Mytilus edulis: one gene and its partner. The protein of the gene in region 1 interacts with the protein of each later gene in a pairwise test. Links are inferred from orthologs where the notes say so. Each region holds a gene or a part of one and is shown in the gene's direction. Other genes may lie near its edges.

Region 1 (11,805 bases):
TTTATTTTATTTTTTCGTTCCTACCAAAAATCTTATATTTGTATTTCCCGCTCAAAACTATTTTATCCGGAATTCTCGGGTTTTATCTTTATCGTATAAGGTCCAGTCCGTTTGGTATCACCTGAGCGTTTGACATTAACACTTATACATTTGAAGTTTCAAAGCATTTGTTTGAAATCGATGTTCAGCTTGTGAACGCTTTCTGAAATCATGATATGACGTACCCTACTCTGTACCTTTAACTTAAAAGAGCATGGTTCATTTACAAAAAAGTTCGTTTGATACAAAATTATCATCTTGTGTACAAACTAATTTGTAAACGGACGTTGTATTCTATGTAGGGATGGCCTTTTGTGATCCGCAGATCTCCTGATGATTATGTTAACGATGCCGCTATATTATTTATATCTGACATGAACCAAAAGTGACAAAACCCTGTAAAGTGGAGAATATCTGGCAGTAAAATCGCCAAGTTGTCCATACAGATCATTTATAAATGCGATGTAAAAAACGTGACAATTGTCAGAGTTTTAGGTCTAGTAGCATTTTTATTGGAAACAAAGGCACACACGATGTTTTTAACACTCTAGGGACTTTTTCTACTAGTGATGTATGTCTGCTCAGACATATATTATCAGTACAAAGTTATCTTTTACAGAAATTCTTAAGGTAAGCATACAAGGTACGTAGTACAGAATATAAGTGCAAGTTCAAACTCTTCAAAGTTCAGGCATATAAACGTTGAAGATATGCGGCACAGCTCTATTTAGTTATATTTGAAAACAAAATAGTAGTGCATATGAATTAGCTTCACATTCTACATGATTTTTTTTTTAAACTAATAGTCCCAGAAAACTTATTTGCAAAAACAAAACGGACACCAATGACATTTATATGCATCTATAAAATAAAATATTATACCTACCTGCCTACCCATGACAAATAATATACCGAGCCAAGTTATTTTTTTGGGGAAAAAAATAAAATATTTTACCTACCTACCTACCCTGTTTCAAAACATAGGGTCGGAAAAGGGCAAACAAACAATATTTTAATTTAGGCCTGATAAAGATTTTTCCTAGGTAAGACGTTTCAACTGAGGCACTACACAGGCATCAAAAGGCGTCATTATGGAGTAAAGGGGGTGGCGTCAAAAAATGTCATTATGGAGTAAAGGGTTAAAGAAATTTTTAAACAGTTTTCATCAATTTTCATTTTATTGAAACATGATGTATGCCTTTTTGTGCTTCTTCGTTACATTTGTTGTTTTTATAGTGATTAAGATGATAACATAATGTTGACTGCTGTACCCCTATTTTTGACATTTTTACTCTTTGAGTATGTTTGTTTTGTTCACACATCGTTGACAATGTAATGGAATTGGATGTGACTGTCATATAAGTGAGAGGTTTAGCTAGCTATAAAACCAGGTTCAATCCACCATTTTCTACATTAAAAAATGCCTGTACCAAGTCAGAAATATGACAGTTGTTATCCATTCGTTTGATGTGTTTGGACTTTTGATTTTGCCTTTTGATTTTGGACTTCCCTTTTTGAATTTTCCTTGGAGTTCAGTGTTTTTGTGTTTTTACTTTTTATTTAAATTTAGAAACACAGCTTTATCACACTAGTAGAAAAAAGTATAAAAATAAGGAGATGTGATATGATTGACAATGAGACAACTATCTACCAAAGTTCAAATAAAGTGGATGAACGCAATTATAGGCAACTGTATGCATGGTCTTCAACAAAGAGAAAAACCCATACCATGTGATCAAAATTGGTTGATAGTTGTCTCATTGTCAATCATACCTCATCTCCTTACTTTTATGTTATGTTGTTGGTTTTAGCAAATACATCATCTATCCGCCTCTGTTTCAGTTCTAAACCTTTCTTCTTTGTCTTATCTTCTTATTATATTACTGTAAATTCAGAAATTATAGCGTGCATTTATTATTACGATTTGTAATTTAAAACTTATATGCGATTTTAATTTTTATGATTTTGAGAAAAATCCTGTTTTATGCGAGTTTAAATTATTGCGTTTACAACTCTGTCACATTTTTCGCAATAATAAAATCCTCGCATTAATTTCTGAATTTACAGTATATTGTTGGTTTTTAGTACTTACATCATCTATCAGCCTCTGTTTCAGTTCTAAACCTTTCCTCTTTGTCTTATCTTTATATTATATAATATTGTTGGTTTTTAGTACTTACATCATCTATCAGCCTCTGTTTCAGTTCTAAACCTTTCCTCTTTGTCTTATCTTTATATTATATAATATTGTTGGTTTTTAGTATTTACATCATCTATCAGCCTCTGTTTCAGTTCTAAACCTTTCCTCTTTGTCTTATCTTTATATTATATAATATTGTTGGTTTTTAGTACTTACATCATCTATCAGCCTCTGTTTCAGTTCTAAACCTTTCCTCTTTGTCTTATCTTTATATTATATAATATTGTTGGTTTTTAGTACTTACATCATCTATCAGCCTCTGTTTCAGTTCTAAACCTTTCCTCTTTGTCTGTGTTAATGAAACTAAAAAGATACATATACATTTTGTTAGTCATAAAACATTTGAAGCATCATTTAGGCCACGGTTTTTTTATTTGTTGGTTTACGGATCCGCCGACCCGATTTTGCCGATTTTCAGAATAAAAATAAAATTGACTTTTCATGCTTTTTTATTCCCGCCGACCCTTATAAATGCATTATCCCTGAAAAATAATTAAAATTTTCCTTTATTATGAAATGAAATGCATTAATCATTAACAAAGTTGATAACACTTTCTGTTGTGAAAAATAAAACTTCCAATTTACGTTTCTGAAAATAGACAAATCAATTATAACTGACCTTGAAATGTCTTTTGCGCAAATAATTTTGCGTAACGAAACCTGTGTTTAAAACCAATTACAAATTAGTTCGTTTCCCTTATTTGTCATCAGTCCGTAAGATGCATCATCTCAGAGAAATAGACTTGTCCAAATGTGCCATTCCAGTTAATTTCTGACAGGTTGGGATGGATGGGGAGATTTTTTTTCATACCTATCAGAAAAAAACATCATGTAAAACTACCTATCAGATCTATAAATTAAGACCTATCAGATTTAGAGTTCCTGTTCATATTTGGTGGATGGCTTTCATGGGAAAAATTGACCTATCAGAATTTTTTACTGCAAGGATTGTACCCATCAGAATTTTAAATACAATACCAGATAATGCATGATACGAAACTTTTTTACATTCCAAAGCACCCCTAAGATCTGAAATAGGTTTTTTTTGTAACCCCTAAGATGTAATTATTTTTAATTATTTTCTGCTGCAAGACCCTCAGAAATTTTTGCGTATATGTGTACGTGTCAGATGAAAAAACCCAAAATTTCACCCCTAAGATGTATAAATTTTACACCCCTCAGAAAGGACCATCCATCCTCCTTTAGCAGATATTAACTGGAATGGCCCAATGTGGACAGGTGGAATACATCAATTAAAGTACTGAATATTAACAAATCATTTGAAATTTTCTTGTTTCATAGATAACAAAAAATATCAATCATTGGGATAAAAACCGGATTGCATGACAACTGATTAACCCGATATTGTCGTTTTTCCAGTGGACGAGTCTATTACGTTTTTCGACACGTGTGTTGAAACTTATTTTTGTACGACGTTTTTATATTTTTTTTCTTTATCAGTTTTTGTGCTTGAAGATCATTATTCACCAAGTTTTCTGAGAGCTACGCGAATCTGTTTTTCTTGTTTGTGAAATGACGATTTAATTTCGTGTTTGTCCGTGCAACCCCCCTTTTTTTACAGGAAATTATTAAACGATGTCATGCGATGTTCATGATCACTGATCAATAATATTTCATCGAACTTAATGTTAAGAAATGATGACAAAACAGCATATAAGATAAACATTTTGTTAGTAAGGTGAAATATATATTTATTTTGCATATTTTTTCTGTTTTGAAAGATATTTTTTTTCTTTTTTTTTCCGACCGACCGACCCGACTTTTTTATGCGAAAAATCCGTAAACCAACAAATTAAAAAACCGTGGCCTTATATGTAAAATAAAAAAATAACATTTAATTATAAATTTGGTTATCAACAGGCTCAAAACTAAATTTGTGTAACCAAATATGCATAGAAGTTTATTTTTGGACTAATTTAATTATGGTTAGATTTCAAATGGAGGAAAGAAAACCAACACCACCAATAACTTTTTTTTCAACTTGTCATGACAAGTACATACCAAAATTTACTTGTCCAAATGAAATTGTTACTTGTCCAAAAAATTTCTATTTAAAATAACCTTTTTTCATTTTTAGTTTATTAAAGGAGCAAAACGAATTTAAACAATATAACAGAATTTGACGGTTTTTTTAAAAAAATACTTTTAAAAATATGAGTCAAGTACAACTGAATCTAGTCATGTCACAGGACTTAGGTTCTAGTTCTCATCAATGCTAGTCTCATCACACTCTGCACATGAGTACCATCTGATAGGCCTGTATTCTCATTGGATTTGTATTTTGTATTTTTTTTTAAGTTGAAAAAAGTTTTTTTAAATGCAATCAATAAAAAGAAGAAGATAAGCCATTATAAGGTCTGATTGCCAATAAGAGAACTCTCTTCAAGAGACCAAATGACACAGAAATTAACAACTATATGTCACCATATTGCAAGTATTGTTTTTTTCTACTTATGAGTTTAGTGTCTTTACCCTGCAACTAATTTTGTATATTGTTCGTGCTTTGAAAGACACAAAAACTCAAAGTTTTATGCCTTAAAGCACTGCCTTTAAAAAAATCAATTAAATATAGTTATCTTAATTATTTTCCATTTCTTTCTTTTTTGAGACTCCATAAATTGGCTATTATGAGACCTCATTTTTACATTCAGAATGGTCTCAGATAGCAGGAAATAGAATGTAGTTCTGAAAAGTTTTCTTGTGGGGGGGGGGCATGCCCCCAAACCCTGCTAGAAGGTTCAGGTCGCTGACGCGACCCTCATCGGTGACTTAGGGCTAGGCTGTTTTTATCAGGACTACGCTGAACAAATTTACTCTAGACCTGTGGTCTTAACAACATTTTAAACTAAATTCTATCCCTGCTGAGTTGGGTAAGGCATATACTAATATGACTGAGTTATTCAGATATTAACAGGTCAGGAATAACCACCAATTAGTGGATTATACCTCAATTGACGTGTAATCCACCAATTGACATATATGGGTATAGACCAATTGATGTATAATGGGAGTTTTTTGTAAGAAAATGCTAGTGTGAGATAGGAGCATGATTTTGCAACTTGCAACCTATTTTATGACCTTTATTGAGTCCTCTGAAAGTTTCAGTTTTGCCAAAGCCTGCTGCATCTCTTGAGAATGCATGTGTACAACAGTTCTTTTGTTGAAACATTTGTACTATTGACCATGATTGACTTTTGATAATGAAAGTGAAGTATTTAAAACAAAGAGTTCCATTCACCTGTGGAGTTGTACTCATGATCACATGACTGCAGACAGTATTGATGTCCATTGACAGGTGATTAGTGGTAAATTTGCCAATCAAGAATTGACAAGATATATAACAATATAAGAAACTGCAAATACAATTATTGATTAAATTCATAGGCGGATCCAGGGGGGCCCTGGGGGGCCCAGGACCCCCCTTTCGTGGGAAAAATTTGGTTGATTATATAGGGAATCATTGAAGCATGACTGGAGCAGGCCACCTCTTAGGAAAAGTTCTGGATCCGCCACTGAAATGCAATATGTAATGTCACTATACTAAACTAGGAATGTTTTACAAGTTTTCATACCATAATATGTTTTTAAGAAGACAATGCTCCATTTTGGTGGAATAATTTGCTTTGAAAAACAAAGAATTATACACCAATTGGTCTATACCATTATATGTCAATTGGTGGATTATACATCAATTGAGGTATAATCCACCAATTGGTGGTTATTCTTGACCTGATTAATGAAAAAAATATCAAAATTGAAAGTGAAACAAGGTTGAACAATTTAGTTACACAATGTAACTACTTCAATAAGAAAACTGACAAACATCAATGAAGATTGGAGTTCAGGGTCACGTTCAATATCGTAGGGGCTACGTAAATTGATGACTATTGAACAAGTAGTTAGTATAGCTGCTACATAGTAATAGGCTAGCTACTAGTTCAATAGTCATAAATCTACGTAGCACTACATAGCCCCTACAATATTGAACGATATTGAACGCAACCCTTTGCACCAGCAAGAGCAGGGTTCGAACTCACAACCTCAGCGTTGACTAGCTAGAATCGGACTTCTTATCCCACTCGGCCCCCGAGGCCCCTTGTTAGTCACGAAAGTACCGTAACCCCCATAAAAACACTCATACAATGTACCTAGTAGTAGTAAAAAATAACTATAGTATAAAATTATAATCCCAAATATTTTCAAACTGTTAAAATTTCAGGGATTTTACAAAATGACTGTAACATTTATTTGTATTTTGTAGTGTGTATAAGCAGTTCTTTGAATAAACAACAATATAATAATACTTTTCTTGTCCCTTTTTGACTTTGGCATCTTGATAATAAAATGTACACAAACACACGTGTTTTTTTCAACCGGAAATAAGGAAATATTCCTGTTTTCAGGAATTGAATTAAAAAAATATTTTTATTAAAATTATTACACTTTTTATCAATTCCAATTCGAAAATATCATTGAAAATAATTTATGGTAAAGTTTTATTTATTAACAACGTTGACCTTCGACACCCGGCTAGGAGTTGACATAGCAACAGTGACGTTAGGGCTACCTTTTCGAAAGAATGTAATCCCCGAAATCTATCGAAAGAAATGGAATTCAAGAGAAGATAACCCACTTCCAGGTTTTAGGAATTTTGATGCAAAATAGTCCCACTGCATAATATATTCGATTATTCAAACGATAACTATTTTTATTCTTTTTAGTGAATTAATCTTCCCTGACATATTTTTATAGAATATAAACAATTAAACTTTATCATTTTAGTCCATGAAAATAAAGGAGTAGCGGAAGAATCAGTGATGTCACCTGTACTTTGATTGGTTAGTGTATTCCGCCATATTGGGAAGGTGGAGATAGAGTAAAGAGTAGTAGACTTCAAATTTCGATTATTTACAAATATTTTAACCATGTCGGAAGTCGAAGATAAAAAGGAACGCGAGACACTAGTTCAAAAAGCTAAGTTAGCTGAACAAGCTGAAAGGTATGATGATATGGCCGAGGCCATGAAAAAAGTGGTCGAAAAGTTTAGGAAGTTGAACAACGAGGAGAGGAATCTACTTTCCGTTGCCTACAAAAATGTTGTTGGTGCCCGGCGGTCATCATGGAGAGTAATTTCAAGTATAGAATCTAAGACTGATGGCACAGAAAAGAAACAGCAATTGGCTAAAGATTACAAAAACAAAGTAACAACCGAACTCCAAGAAATTTGCAAAGACGTTCTGGTGAGTGAAAGTTGACGGATGTTTCTTGTTGTGTCGTTTTGCGTGCAGTTTTCATTGCATGTTTATTTTTATTGTGTTTTCTTTAAGTTATAGATGTTTATATATCAAAGAAAATATATTCTACACCCGATCGCAATACACAGATTCAGATAGCATCGTTTTTGCATGTGCAGGAAGACGAGAATTTGGATCATCATAAAATTGGCATGTGTTTGTATATTCATCCGCGTCATTGATAAAAATGTAAAAATTTTGCATGAGTCATGAGCTCATCATCTCCTCTGCAGTATTATTGCAGATCTAGACACTCCGTGGACATCTTGAATGCAGTATGCAATGATTTATCTTATTGTTCACAGAATCAACAGCTTGGCAGCACTGATTATATAATGGAGCACTCTGCATAAATTATGCAAAAATGACAAACCTGTGTGATTTTCCACTATGAAGTACTAGTATCCATATTAAAATTGCCAGCAGTTTTTAAATGCATTATTCTTGGCTTGCATTTATATGAAGTCTGTAGGTGTATGCAACTTAAGACGTTATACATGTAGTTAAATGCATAAAAAATAAAAGAAGGTTCTTGTACCAAAGGATTTTAAAAAGGCTTAATGCACTATATATATATTTCTGAGTGTGCACTTCGTACAAATACATGAGATAATAGCTTGAATCGTTCAAAATTTGGGATAGGTCTCATTTTTCCTAAGCTGTATTTTTAAATTGCTAGTATTAATGTTTCCCTATGTATACAAACTGAAAGTACAAGAGAAAAAACAATATATAACCAGGTCTATTATTTAAATACAACCTTGATGTGCATGATGGAAGTATTTTTACAACAATCAATTAGTCAATATATCTACAGACTCACTCCATTCTGTAACAGTAACAAGACAGTTATAAATGTTCTGCTCTTTGATGATGGATGTTGTCTCTGCTACACATTCCTTGTTTTTCCATTCTCAATTGTATTTGTATAGAAGATGAAAAGGTTGTGTTTATTCCTATTGTTCATTTAATTTTAGACAGCATATTGCCATATAATATGTACATGTACATTGTGAAAAGGATCTGAATGGAAAGAATAAGGAAGCCGAGACAAGGGGTGTTTTTCAATTTATAACTTGATTATAATAAAACTTACTTCCCCTAAGGTCATGGTCTACTGATCATGAGTTTGAAATAATAAGCAATTTTTTAATGTTAACTTTTCTGTTTGAGTCAATTTCGTAGGAACTAGATCAAAAGTAGATATTTTCTAAAAGGTTGCATTACTATCAGTATCAGAACAAAAAATTTCCCGACTAACTCATCTCTGGTCATGATCTATGGACTTTATATTGTCAGGTCTTGACTTGTCTTGTACAAATGCACATGGTATGGAATGCAAGTTAATAGACCTTCGCTCTCTCAACTGTTTCTTCAGGCTACACCAAAAACTTTTTTCAACTACTAGTCCAAGACTAATATCCTAAACATTTTTATTATAGAGCCAAACAGTCCAAAGGACATTTTACTTGTCTTAGCCATCGGACTAGTGGCTAATCGTGCAGACTGCTGTTTGGTATATTTTTACCTGCATTGCCTAATCAAAGCCAACAACTTGATACAAATTAAAAAAAAAGGCCCTTCAACTGCACTTAAAATTAACCTTAAACCTTGCAAGTGTATAATTTGTTTTCAAATTCTTTTTGGCTTCTAAAAAGGACTGTATTATGATTTTAAATTTGGAATTTTAGAAGCCAAAAAGGAAAATGCATGAATTTTGGTATTCAGTTTGGCAGCTTTGTTAAGTAGAGTATGCACTTTTCACATCTGGTTGGGGGATTTGCTGCTGCAGCAGTTTGCATCAAAATCTTTTTCCAGTTCCCACTACCAAACTGAATACCAAAATTCCAACATTTTCCTTTAAAGACTTAATAAATTTTTGCAAACACATTTTATTTGTACTTACTGGTCTCAATAAAATTTTACTAGTCTAGGCATCAGACTACTGGTTATATGTAACTTATGGTAGAAGACATTTGAGCACTGGCTTTGCCAGGAAAGTGGAAATTTCTTTAAAAAAAACTTATGCCTAAAAGGGAGAGTGATTTTCATTTTTTAAAAAGCTTTGTTTCAGTGAAGTTGACTTAATGTCAGTGTACATTTGTTACTGTAGATGCCAACAGTTTGCAGAATATTTTATTAAAGATTTAATTTTTGTTGTCACCAAAACAGTGAAACAAATATGAAATGTTTTGTTATCTATGCATTCAAATAGTCATATTTGTGTTATATTAAAGCTTGGTCTCCATAGAACTTACATTTTGTTTTACAAAATATTATGAGAAGAAATAATGGGTTTATAATTTTTGTGGACCCACCACAGCCAAGTGTGCAGTGTTGCCCTTGTCCATCTGTAGTTGGGTCTGTCCATTCCAAAAATTAGTTTCTGTTCTATTTCTATTATGTGTGGTTCCAGTTACATCCTATTAAAAAGTAACTCAGTAGGTCGGCATTTTTTTTAAATTTCTTTTGTAATATTTCTTTTTGGATTGTCAAAATCTGGAAAAAATCTGGTGTTCCCCTGATTTGATTCTGGTATTATACAAGCCCAAACCAGAAGTTCACCATTTTACATGTTTGTTTGGAAAATAAACAGTCTGTTACATGTATGTTTGTAGTTCATTTGAATGCCTTCTGATATGAATTGTTGCATGTCAGTCTGCACGGTTAGCCACTAGTCCAATGCCCCAGACTAGTAAAATTTCCTTCGGACTAGCAAGTTTTTGCAAAACTTTGTTTGGCCAAATAAGAAAAATGTCAGAATATTGGTATTCGGACTAGTAGTTATAAAGTTTTTGGTGCAGACTGGCATGTTAACCTGATAACAGATACTAATGATGGAAATTCAGTTGATTGAAATCTATGAATTTAATTAATCAAATTCGCAATCTTCAAAAATGATCATTTGAAAAATTATTTTTAGAAATGAAAAAAAAGTTCTAGGGTCGGGGGGGGGGTTTCAACTAGGGTTGGTCGGGTACCTGGAACCAAGCATGAAATTTTATTTGGCCTAACCCAACCAAATATTATGTCACTTATAAACAACACTTATTTCAACAAAACACAGTTCAAGTGTGAATCAGGGTGGCATCACATTTACTGTTCTAGAACATGTAGAGTTATGCCCCTGTACAATTTCATTATTGTTAAATGTACATAATGTACTTTAACTTATAGTATACATGAACAATTATCTACCATCGCCTTAGGTTAACATCCCAATTGTTAACACCTGCAGGCTTGTCCTCCGAACGACATCCTACTTTGGGAAATTTTCTACTTATGCAACACACTGTTGTCAACATTTAAGTAGATATTCACTTTTAAATCTTCATTTTTTACAGCATCTGCTTGATGAACATTTATTAAAAGAAGCTACTGAAGATACAGATAGTGGAAATGAAAGCAAAGTGTTCTATTTAAAAATGAAGGGAGATTACTACCGATATCTGGCAGAGGTTACAGATGAGGATGGGGCTGAGGGTAAACAAGGTAAATACATTGTGCTCAAATGATCTATTGATCTCCTCGTAAAGGGAGATTACTACCGATATCTGGCAGAGGTTACAGACGAGGATGGGGCTGAGGGTAAACAAGGTAAATACATTGTACTCAAATGATCTATTGATCTCCTCATAAAGGGAGATTACTAGCGATATCTGGCAGAGGTTGCAGATGAGGATGGGGCTGAGGGTAAACAAGGTAAATAATGATGTTGAAATCTACAAAGTCTCATCATTCGAGGCTAAGTGGTCTAAGTAGTTCTTAAACTGAAATCATAAGCCAGTCAACACTGAGGTTTGTGAGTTCTAGCCCACTCCTATGGGTTCACTCAACTCCAATCTTCATTGACTAGATTTGTGAGTTTTCCTATTGAAGGTCATTGTTTTCTCTGGGCACTCCGGCTTTCTCAAATGAATAGTGGCCCTAAAACACCAATAAACCAGTCAGTCTCCCTAAAACACAAATAAACCAGTCAGTCTCATCATCTCCTCGACCCCATTTCTTAATACATGTACAATGCATTTGATATCAATCTTTACTTGTCAGTACTGGAAAGCTTTTCTCTTCCATCTAAAAAATAAAAAATAGTTAACAATAACATGACCAATATTACATTTAGATCTAATCCTTTGTTTGATCAAAAGATAAAAAAACAAAAACCAACACTCTAATGCTATATTAAACAAAACCATGTCTTCAGGTCACCATCTTGTTGACATGCTTTAGAATGTGTTTACCTAGCTAATC
Region 2 (11,206 bases), on another chromosome or scaffold:
AGTTACTGTATCAAAAACGTATATCAACGCAATGTCCTTTTGAAACAGTAGAATATAAAGGGTCATATATTCTCGGTAATACTATAAATGGAAAAGAAGGGGTGTGATTTAATTATTCATGACAAAAACATTACACCCACTTTAGAATTACACCCTAAAGCAAAGAAACTGCGCTCTTATATTTATGACTTTCGTTTAAAAGTCAAATATATATATGCCTGTTGTAAGTGTTTACGATTGGTTAAACATTTTTATTTGATAAATTGTCAAAATAAAATAACATAAAAGGAAGAATTCGGAGCAAGATAATAAAGTTTATGGATACCTTATAGGTAATGCAATCAGGAAAAATATAAATTAAGGTTTGTATAAATGAAGATACTATAGAATGATGATTTTATATCCATTCAACTTCTGAATTGATTTCAAATAACTCAAAGAAACACACAAGAGTAATATAATCATTCATGTTTCAAACACATTCTTCTAACTTCTATATTAATTATTTTTACTAAAATTCAGACACGCAATTTGATTAATTTGAAATTTTAAAAAAAGGAGTAACATGGATGGTATAGGAGATTTGTTAATTGTCGACATGAATAAATATATCTTTAAACAATACTATGATTTTGCTACAAAATAAAAATAATGTGTGAATATAGCAACAAGAGAATTCGTACACTGCTGTTGAATACATTCAATCGCCATGAAATTTTGATGGGTCTATCGTGATAAGAAATAGTGTATTGGTTTAGTGATACATCAGATTTGACATAAAAAGTTGTAGATTTCAATACTTTGCGTACGTAATTAAGTGATTTTTACAATAATCAACTCAATTATGTACAACTATCTTACATAAGCTGAGGTAAAAAAGCAAAGGATACTTACATTTATATATACATTGATTTAATATCCAAAAAAAAACCTACACGCCACATCTATTCCTCTAAAGAATTCTGCAAGTTAAATTAAGTAAACACTTGAGCTTATTTTCTGCTAAAAATAACTGAAGCGGTTGATGATGTACAAAATCAGCTGCTGAATGGGGGGAAATATTGCCAAAGTTTCCAATAATGTCGTTTTATTGATCTCACACGGAACTACTCATAAAATTATTGAATGAACATTTCTCGAATGATTGATTCGAATGTGGGAGATATTTAGTACATTTATTTTGATCCTAAGATTAATTGGAAACGATTCATGAACTCTGGAAACAGTTTCAGTAAAAGAGTGGAAATGGGGGCAATTTTAATTTGTGTGTGGTGCAATATAGAAAGATGATACCTATATATTGTAAGAAGCATAATCGGTAATTGCAATAGGGACTGGGGCCGTCATAGGGATAGGATTGAGATAAAACATGTTGGTGTGCCTTTCTCTCTCCTACTGACTTCAATTAACTTTAGTAAAGTCGATCAAAATAGTTGAAGCACTATATTTTGATCCTAAAACAAACCAGCAAAACACACTATTTCGTATATTCGTACTACTGCCATAGCTTTTTTTCATCATTCTCAATAATATTTTTGACATTTCAACTTTGACACTTGCAACATTTCTAGAGCCCCAGCCCCTCCCCCCCCCCCCCCCCCCCCCCACTTTTACACCCCAACAAAAAATCCACCAACATCACTAACGAAGACGCGGTCAGTCACAGTTTAAATTCTGTATTCCGGTGAAATGTTTTCCGTTTAATAATGGATATTACTTCACACTACTTCTTTGCCAGTTGTTAACTAATTAACAAAGATATACATCATGCAGTAATTCAAGGGAAAATATTTTTGATTATTCAAACCTTGACAAAGTTCTTTAGCTACATATATATTTTTTAAACACGCCAACACCAATGAACTGGTATTAACTGCATGAAAGAAGTATTTTCAATCAACATTAATTAGAATTGATGACAGGTAACCCATAAAGTATCGACTGAAATGTGGCGTAAGGTTCTAAGCAGTGCAAGTTTCGTGATTTTATCAATATTTGTTTAAAGTCTTTTTGTCGATGTTTCAAGCATGTTTAATGTTTTTCATGTGACCATGTTGGTGCCTCTTGTGGCTTGCTGTGTGGTATTGGTTATGCTCGTTGTTGAAGGCCGTGCAGAGACCTATGGTTGTTGCATGGCTTCTTGTCATGTGGTCTATAGTGGAGATTTATCTCATTGGCAATCGTACTGCATTTTCAAATTTGTATGATTTTTTTCGAATATATGACACACGCTTTAAAAACTCCTCTCAGTTAAAAACACTCATAATCTAAAAAAAAAATCTTCAGTTGGTATTTTTTTTTTTTACATCGGAGAAAAAAACATTTACAATCACTTCTAGCGTTTATAGCCCGTTGATTCGTTTTCATATTTGCCAGTTCTAAAATGCTTTGTTTCGGTAAGCAACCGAAATTTACATATTTTCGACGGTCAAGTTAAAATTACAAAACTGCTACGTCAGAATGGACAGCTATTCGATTGAAGTGAAGGATAGATTGCAGATCGAAAGGATTGTTGTATTGAACGTGTGGCTTGGCTATGTATCACCGCTCTTTGAAAACGATATAGCGCACTGCTTCAGTATGTACAAGAGTAGCTATATATTCTTCAATTCAAAAATAATATAACTTTGATTGGACTAGCTGTATGTCAAAGTAAACCCTGTAGACAATCGGAATTAAAAATTACACCTACGAGGCAACCGAGTTCTCTCTAAAGATCTCATGATACTATTTACCACACATTTATATTGATTACTGTCTGCTTAGTTTATTGTTTTATTGAAATAGAATAAATTCGATACAAATTAAATTTTGCACGTTGGGCTGAGAAATGAGTCTGAACAAAGACGTAAGCATTAGTCGGTAGAAGTTGTTTTCGGATGTCATTATTAATCGGCTTGATATAAAAATAAAAGCTTAATTGAAATTGAGTCAGTATGATGTAGTTTTAGAATAGCAATGAAATTGGAAACCAATCAATTTAATGGTTTTCTCTATTGTTGTAAAATTAATATATTTTAATATGAGTTTAAGGTACTGTCTGACTTTATGATGAAACATGCCGCCTGAAACATAACGACAAAATAAGTCGATTAGACTATTCCTTCTGTCTTCACAAAATATGTACTTTTTTCAGGTCATCCATTAGAACAGTATATTGATAACATTATATACATTTATATATGGCCACAAAGAAGAACAGTATATTTACAAAAGTCGCCAATCATTTATGCTTTTCTTCACCATTTTTTTTTAAAACTTTTTTTTCAAAATCGTACAGGAACAATTAGAAACTTTGTATGGCCCCCACGAATAAAAAGAAAAATCACACACGTTTGCACGCGTATCTAAAATATGACGAAGAATAGTTACGTATATTTTGAGATAAAGCATTCTTATACAGTTATTTTGTCTATTAAATGAAATATCAGTGGCCATATACAGAATTTAAACTAGAAAATTTCAGTCTCAAAATGTCAAAATCAGTCAATGAACAGTTCAAATATTTAGAAATACATGATTATTGGTTTTATATCATATAGCATTGGACAAAACTATGAACATATAAAAATTTGATGAAACTGTAGAAAACTTAATTAACAAAGATATCATTATACATTGAAAGGGAATCATCTCGAGACACCAATATCGGACTGAGAGACAAGGTTGGGGTATGATATGACGTCGATCGGCGATATCAGTGAAGACATGGAAAACGCTGCATACGTATAATAGAAATTGCGTTTTTCAATAAGGCATGCTGGCGTTGGTGTGAATGTATGATGAAATCCCCTGTTTGTTCAAGGTTGCTTATCCGATTTGCTCCGTGGATTATAATAAAATTCCATTATATTTGGACTGATTTAAATGTCAGTAAAACACCAATATTAATTGGTCTTCTAATTTCGAGGATTGATTTCGAAGAAGTCTGTACAGTTTGACAAAAATCATATATTTCACATCAAAATGTGTTATAATAATTGTTTTGAATAAACCTGACCAATCCAAACCGTTTAACAAGAATACGAACAAGTTAGATTTTATATGGAATTAAATAGTCTCAAATTCCCAATGGATATTATACATATCTTAGAAAGGCTATCGCAGTTATGATATGCTTCTCCTAATACATCCTACATACATTGATGAATATTATCTGGAAACAGCTTCTTGAATGGCCTTTTTATACAACCATTTACATTTCGTACGTTTTGGTCTGAGCTATAACAAATTACATCCTGCCTTATTTTTCGTTAATACGTCTAGACGTATTTATATTTATTTTACTGTAGACTACATCAAAACTTTCACTGATATAAGAATCCGTATACTTGATTAGCATCGATCACGTGACATAATCTTGATCAATAAAGAAAATCAAAAGAACTAATCTGATCATATATCATTCTCCTAGGCAATATATAAAGTTATTTGTGTCTCATTATTCGTTACATCTATCATTGTATATATCACAGAGAACTACAAATGGAAACATCTGATAGAACAATTCCCTTAACATCTTTATGGATGAATAGCAGAAATAGAAAATGTATCTCGGATCATCTGGATATGTATACAAATTCAAGAACGGCGCTATTTTGGAAGAAGAAAAGATTCGTCTTACAGTAGCCTATTGAAATAAATGCAATAGATCATATCAGAAATAGAAAATGCATCTTTGTATACAAATTCAAGTACATGTACGTTGCTACTTTGGAAGATGAAAGGATTCGATCTTCTCACAGTTTTCCTATTAAGAAGTGGTTTTAATAAATTCAATGAATATCAGAAATAGAAAATGCATCTAGATATACAGATTCAGATACGTTGCTAATTTTGTAGAAGAAGAGATTCGTCTCGCATATTTCCTATTAAGACGTACGTTTTAATAAATTCAATAAATATCAGGAATGATCATGCATCAAGATATACAGATTCAAATATGTTGCTACTTTGGAAGAAGAAAGGATTCATCTCACAGTTTTCCTATTATAATAAGCCGTTTTAATACATTCAATTGTATTACAATGTGTATGGCAATAAAAGTTTAAACAAAAGATAAACAAAAAACAGTATACAAAAAAGATATAAAAAAACATAAAAACATGAGTGATAAATTTACAATATTCAATAGCCATGTTACAATAAGACCCCTGCCCTCGTGTAGTTTTTATGACCTTTAAAAAAAAAAGCCAATGATTCTAACATGTCTTAAGGAAGCTTAATTAATATAGACAGCAGCTCATCAACACAATAAGCCGCAAAACATAAATCAGGCCGTTGGTTATCTCGTTTGAGTTGTTTACCATTGAATTTATCGATTCATGCATGTCGTGGCCTTTCGGAAAGCTTTATTGTATAAATGCGGTATATATCATGGGTTTTGCTTATTGTAGTAAAAGACTGCCGTTACGGCGAACTATAATAGTTTCTACTCGGAGTTTCTAACTTTTAGTATCTGGTTGACATTTATCTTGTTGTGTATCATATCATGCATCTTTTGATTCTTTATGATGGACAAATTTCAAAAATGGAAAAGCATATACATATGACTAGGTTCAGATATATCTATCACCAGCAAAAAGGGATTATGTTTTTTCATCATTATTAAATGGGAACTAGCACATTAATTATTCATGGGGATCATCGTTCAGTACATTTAGTACATTGCAAGCATTGATTTCATGTCAGGGACAATTTCCGTTGAATTTTGCGGCTCTAAAACAAATCCATACCGTATATTTTAAGACATGCATGTGATTCACTTTGTTATATTGTATAATGTTTTATCAAATTTATGATGCAATACCGGTTCATAACATACAGTTAAAAAATATGAGATTTTATTTTTATGCATACATATACATGTTATTAATATATTTACACTTTTGACAGAGAAATGTTTTAATTAACGAATATAACGGTCAGTATTGGATTCTTTTATGTTGACAGTGCACATTTTCATAGTACTTTTTAAAATATTAAATTTCATTCTTTACAAAGAACCTGCAAAATAACGAATTGACTATATTGCTGGAGCCGGCAAAATAGCCAATTCTTTAGAATAGGCTATTTTGCCGGCTTGGATTAAAATATTTTAATCAGAGCATGCAAAATAACCACTGCCATATTTTTAATATTCATCATATATACTGTTCACAGGTTGGAATTTCAACATTACGATTTATATTACACCATTTCGTTATTTACTGTCGAACTAGTGAACATTGTAGGCACTTTGAACTGAAATGACTTTTTTTTAAATTACTAATCGGTTTTCCCGCCAAATGTCAATTTGGAAAAAATAGAGTTGTCCCCCGTGTAAACTTCCGTCGTCTGTCATATGATCTCCCTTGAACGATTAGCACACGGTGCAACATCTCAAAGTTTAAATGATGTTACTGCTGAATTGAAGAAATGTCATTTAGAACTTTCTTAGAGGATAATGTCTGGGTAAATGATAGATGTACACAATTCCATAAATACGAACCATGAATTTCGAAAACCTGAGAAAACGAACAAAAAAGTTGGGTCGAAACTGAACTTCCAAAGTCAAAAACACTCAGAGAAAGTCTCTTCCATATACTTTACTGCCGGATTGAAATATCCCTCCGTAACGTTTATCAATAACAACAATTATACAATAACGCAAAAAATAGAAAACATGCATACATACAATTGTTTTAAGATAGTTCATACAGTTATAAGTGATAAAAGACTTAAACTTTTAGTCAAAACATTGGGTAGGAGCGTAAACACGTAAAAATCGGTAGGGGTACAGAATTCAGGTGCCTGTGGGGCTGCTTCATTTGTTATAGGTCGGGCTATGCCTAGTTCGCCCTATCACGTGACCGGGTTAAATATGGCTGAAAATAAAACGAGTGGAACCGGCTGATATGAATTAAGGTTCATCATAAGGAATTGAAAAATATGGCCGTGTTTACACCTCTAAAATTACTATGAGTACAGGTAAAACTGGTACATCCAGGAAAGTTTAAAGGCATGGCAGGAACTAGATATATAAAAGTTATATGAAGTCTACGTTTCAGAAAATTAAAAACTTACCTGGATTTTGATGTTCATTTTTTTCCAGTCTGCAGAAGATAGCAAAATAAACAAACACCCGAGTTTCATTTGATTCGGTCCACTCAGTTACACAGTTTAAACCTGTTAAATCACCTATTGTTTACAGGTGTCTATTGTCCATTTAAATCAATACTACTCACAACATTGATTATATGAGGGGAGCTTCTCAATCGTTTTCACTACTAATTTTTGCACCTTCTGCAGGAACGAAAAAAAATGGATAGCAAAATCTAGAAAAGTTTATAATTTTCTGAAACATAAAATGCATTTAAAATTTATATATCTAGTTCCTGCCATCCCTTAAAACTGTTGCAGGTGTATAGGTTAGTCTGTATTCAGAGTAAAATTTGGGGTGTAAATACGGACATTTTAGCCAAAAGGTTATGATGAACCTTAAGATGATGATAGAAGTTCAAATTTAATACTGTTTTTCTCTCTAAGCTAGGGAATATAAAAAAATGAACCTGTTAACAATATAAATATATATTTTTAAAATGCAATCTTTTTTTCTTATACCTTATTCATCATAAAAACGTTTCTCCTACATAAATTTTATAAACTTGTGTTTACATATAAAAAGGGTAGAGGATCACTTCCACAAGTTCAATGCCCCTTTCATTTTCCCAATGGACAGTTCTGCATTTTGTAAAACAGATGGATGTCGTTTAATTTAGAAAACTAATGCACTTACATACTTACAAAACAATACAGGAAATGTCCTATTTTCAGGCTTAAATTAAAATATTGATTGTTTGCCCTTTACCGACCGACCCTATAAATTCGTGGCGCCTGAAAATCTTTTATTTGTATTTACCAGCAAGTTTTTATTTTAATTTATTTTTTCGTTCCTACCAAAAATCTTATATTTGTATTTCCCGCTCAAAACAATTTTAACCGGAATTCTCGGGTTTTATCTTTAACGTATAATGTCCAGTCCGTTTGGTATCACCTGAGCGTTTGACATTAACACTTGCATTTGAAGTTTCAAAGCATTTGTTTGAAATCGATGTTCAGCATGTGAACGCTTACTGAAATCACGTACGCTACTCTGTACCTTTATAAGAGCAGGGTTCATTTACAAATAAGTTGGTTTGATACAAAATTATCAACGTGTGTACAAACTAATTTGTAAACGGACGTTTTATTCTATGTAGGGATGGCCTTTTGTGATCCGCAGATCAGGATGATTATGTTAACGATGCCGCTATATTATTTATATCTGACATGAATCAAGTGACAAAACCCTGTAAAGTGGAGAATATCTGGCAGTAAAATCGCCAAGTTTTCCATACAGATCATTTATAAAGGCGATGTAAAATACGTGACAATTTTCAGAGTTTTAAGTCTTGTAGCATTTTAACACTCTAGGGACTTTTTCTACTAGTAATGTATGTCTGCCCGGACATAGATCTAATCAGTACAAAGTTATCTTTTACAGAAAATCTTAGGTAAACATACAAGGTACGTAGTACAGAATATAAGTGCAAGATCAAACTCTTCAAAGTTCCAGGCATATAAACGTTGAAGATATGCGGCACAGCACTATATTTTGATATTTTGAAAACAAAATAGTACTGTGCATATGAATTAGCTTCACATTCTACGTGATATTTTTTTATAAAACTAATAGTCCCTGAAAACGTATTTGCAAAAACAAAACGGACACAAATGACATTATGCAGAGTTTGTATCTATAAAATAAAATATTATACCTACCTCCCTATCCATGACAAATAATATACCGAGCCAAGTTATTTTTTTGGGAAAAAAAATAAAATATTTTACCTACCTACCTACCCTGTTTCAAAACATAGGGTCGGAAAAGGGCAAACAAACAATATTTTAATTTAGGCCTCATTGATTTTCTATTAATGCGTTTTTTGTGGAAAAAAAGATTGTTTCAAAGACAAATTTAGGAAGTACAAAACATATATTTATTGTCATCCAAAATATTTTTGTCATTGATATTCTGATTTTTGTATGGTTTCAGAGGAGTTGTGGCTTAATTAAATCCATCTCTCCTCTGAGTAGTATACATGGTATAGATAAGTCATTTAATTTCAATCTAAGTTTATTAAAAGAGCAGAATAAGGGTTTTGGGATATTTGATTTTTTTTAGAAATGCAGGAAAAGGCTGACTCAGACTTTTACCATTATATTAACCCTTTCGCCGATGAGTCCAGGTTTACCGGGATTCACGCTTCAGACGGCTGACAATGAGTCCCGTTTTACCGGGATCAGAATACATCTTTTATATTTCCTGCTCAAAAGTGCAAACATGAGTTATCTTTCTTTAATGAATACCCGGATGAAAGTGTAAACATGGCGCTTCCGTTTGTTGAAAACCGTGTCAAAATCAGAGGATTTTTTTCGAGAATTTGAAATGAGGACACATTTTTTTTGAAAGAATATGGAAGAATTGAAGCAAAACTAGTAAACTTTTTTAACATAAAATGTCGTTTTATGTACAAAACACTTGGAATGGACATCGTTCAGTGTGAGGAATTTGTACAGCCTCATAAAATTTTTCAAAAGTTTGCTGTTTTGGGTTAAAAAATTACGATTTGGGGTCAAAGAGCAGAAATTTGAGAATTTCACTCATATAATGCTGAATATTTGAAAATTTGAATATTTTATGAAGAAACGTTATCAAAACATAAACCAAACTGTGAACATGGTGTTAGTGAATAAAATAAATACACAAATAACTACAAACAAGTTTTTATTGACATTTATTATGAAGATCTCCCACCTGAGTAAAAGTAGCCAGGGAAGCCATCGTCTCAGAGTAGCTTCTGTCTGGGCAGCAATCGGTGAAAGGGTTAAGCATTGGCTTTAGTTGGGTCTAGCTGAAATCATAAGAAAAAAAAATTTAGAATCCACTTAAATTTTGGTATCATATGACTTTTTTATGAGCTATTGATGTCTTCTATGGAAAGAAAAGTGCATGGGTGATAGGCAGTGGCAAAAGAATGTTACCCAATATCGTAGGAAAAGAACCCAAAAGTCTAAACATCTGAAAAATTTCATAAACCTCACTCGTGTACATGGTTTACCGTTAGAATAATGTAAAATGGTAGAGATTATCTTAATGGAATGCAAATTAAACAAAGCTTTATAAAAATATGAGTATTAAATAAATTTATCTTTCTTAGAACAAGTGTACATGGTGAACATGGTCTAGGACAAACAAAATATTTTGACCAGGCATAATTTGGCTTTGGAGTTAATTCGGGCTAAGCATTACAGAATAAATAGTATTGAAGATAATATAACATGCATAGCAGTAGGAACTGGTATTTGAGGGATACAAAACCAATATTTAAATAGTAAAGCTTATTATGATGTTTATGTAGGCAACAAGACAGGGAAATTTACCCAGTACACATAAATAATATTGTGGTTTGCTACTGTGTACTACTGTCATGACTTATATTTTTCACTAAATCATTTTGTGTTTATTACTGTTAAATCTTTTACTGAATCACTTTGTGTGAACTACTGTTATATTTTTTACTGAATCATCTTGTTTGTTCAACTGTTACATTTTGCATAGAATCAACTTGAATATGTTGAGTCTTTTGTTATATTTTGGATTGTCTTTTGTTGTTTTAATCATCAATATAAAATTATTTACAGGTTCCAATAGTAGCTGGTGTTGTCCTATTGATTGCTGTAGTTATTATAATTTATTGCATGTGCAGGTATGTCATATATTTTTCATTGTCATTCGTTTAAGAGTTCTAACTTATGACTGCAATCAAACATTGGAACCATCACTACAAAAATTAGAAAAAGTTACAGAAAAGTTGAATAGAAAATTCTGTGGAAGTTTGGGGAAATGATCAAGACGTACTGCAATATCATATTTTGATTTAAAAATATTTTGAAATGTAAAAAAATTATTCATTTATAATTTTCCTACAAATCAATGAAATAGTTGAGAATAAGGTTTTCTCGGTCAAGAAGTCAGACTTTTATTTTAGTAAATAATAATAATAATAATAATAATAATTTATTTTATTAAAGTGTCACATACTTGTCTACAGATTTTTTATACAGATTATATAATATACATTGCACAATGATAAAATAAGACAAATACCCAGCCTAGAAAGGC

What was found. The genes of interacting proteins can lie anywhere in the genome.
Region 2: the proteins of 14-3-3 protein beta/alpha-1-like (region 1) and slowpoke-binding protein-like interact in binary tests that used the Drosophila melanogaster proteins (3 or more experiments, as listed by UniProt). The link is inferred for Mytilus edulis from reciprocal best matches to the Drosophila melanogaster genes 14-3-3zeta and Slob.

What each region holds. Positions count from the first base shown.
Region 1 is NC_092355.1:77,870,298-77,882,102, forward strand, and holds the start of 14-3-3 protein beta/alpha-1-like, read left to right. Parts: upstream 1-6,841; 5' UTR 6,842-6,899; intron 6,900-7,042; 5' UTR 7,043-7,185; coding exon 7,186-7,500; intron 7,501-10,898; coding exon 10,899-11,046; intron 11,047-11,805. Other genes in the region: mRNA turnover protein 4 homolog, read right to left, coding at 2,484-2,542, 6,565-6,592. UniProt on the Drosophila melanogaster protein: Required in Raf-dependent cell proliferation and photoreceptor differentiation during eye development. Acts upstream of Raf and downstream of Ras, and is essential for viability.
Region 2 is NC_092344.1:64,753,139-64,764,344, reverse strand, and holds the start of slowpoke-binding protein-like, read left to right. Parts: upstream 1-6,341; 5' UTR 6,342-6,417; coding exon 6,418-6,453; intron 6,454-10,725; coding exon 10,726-10,790; intron 10,791-11,206. UniProt on the Drosophila melanogaster protein: Regulator of calcium-activated channel Slo. Increases or decreases the voltage sensitivity of Slo, depending on the absence or presence of 14-3-3-zeta in the complex, respectively.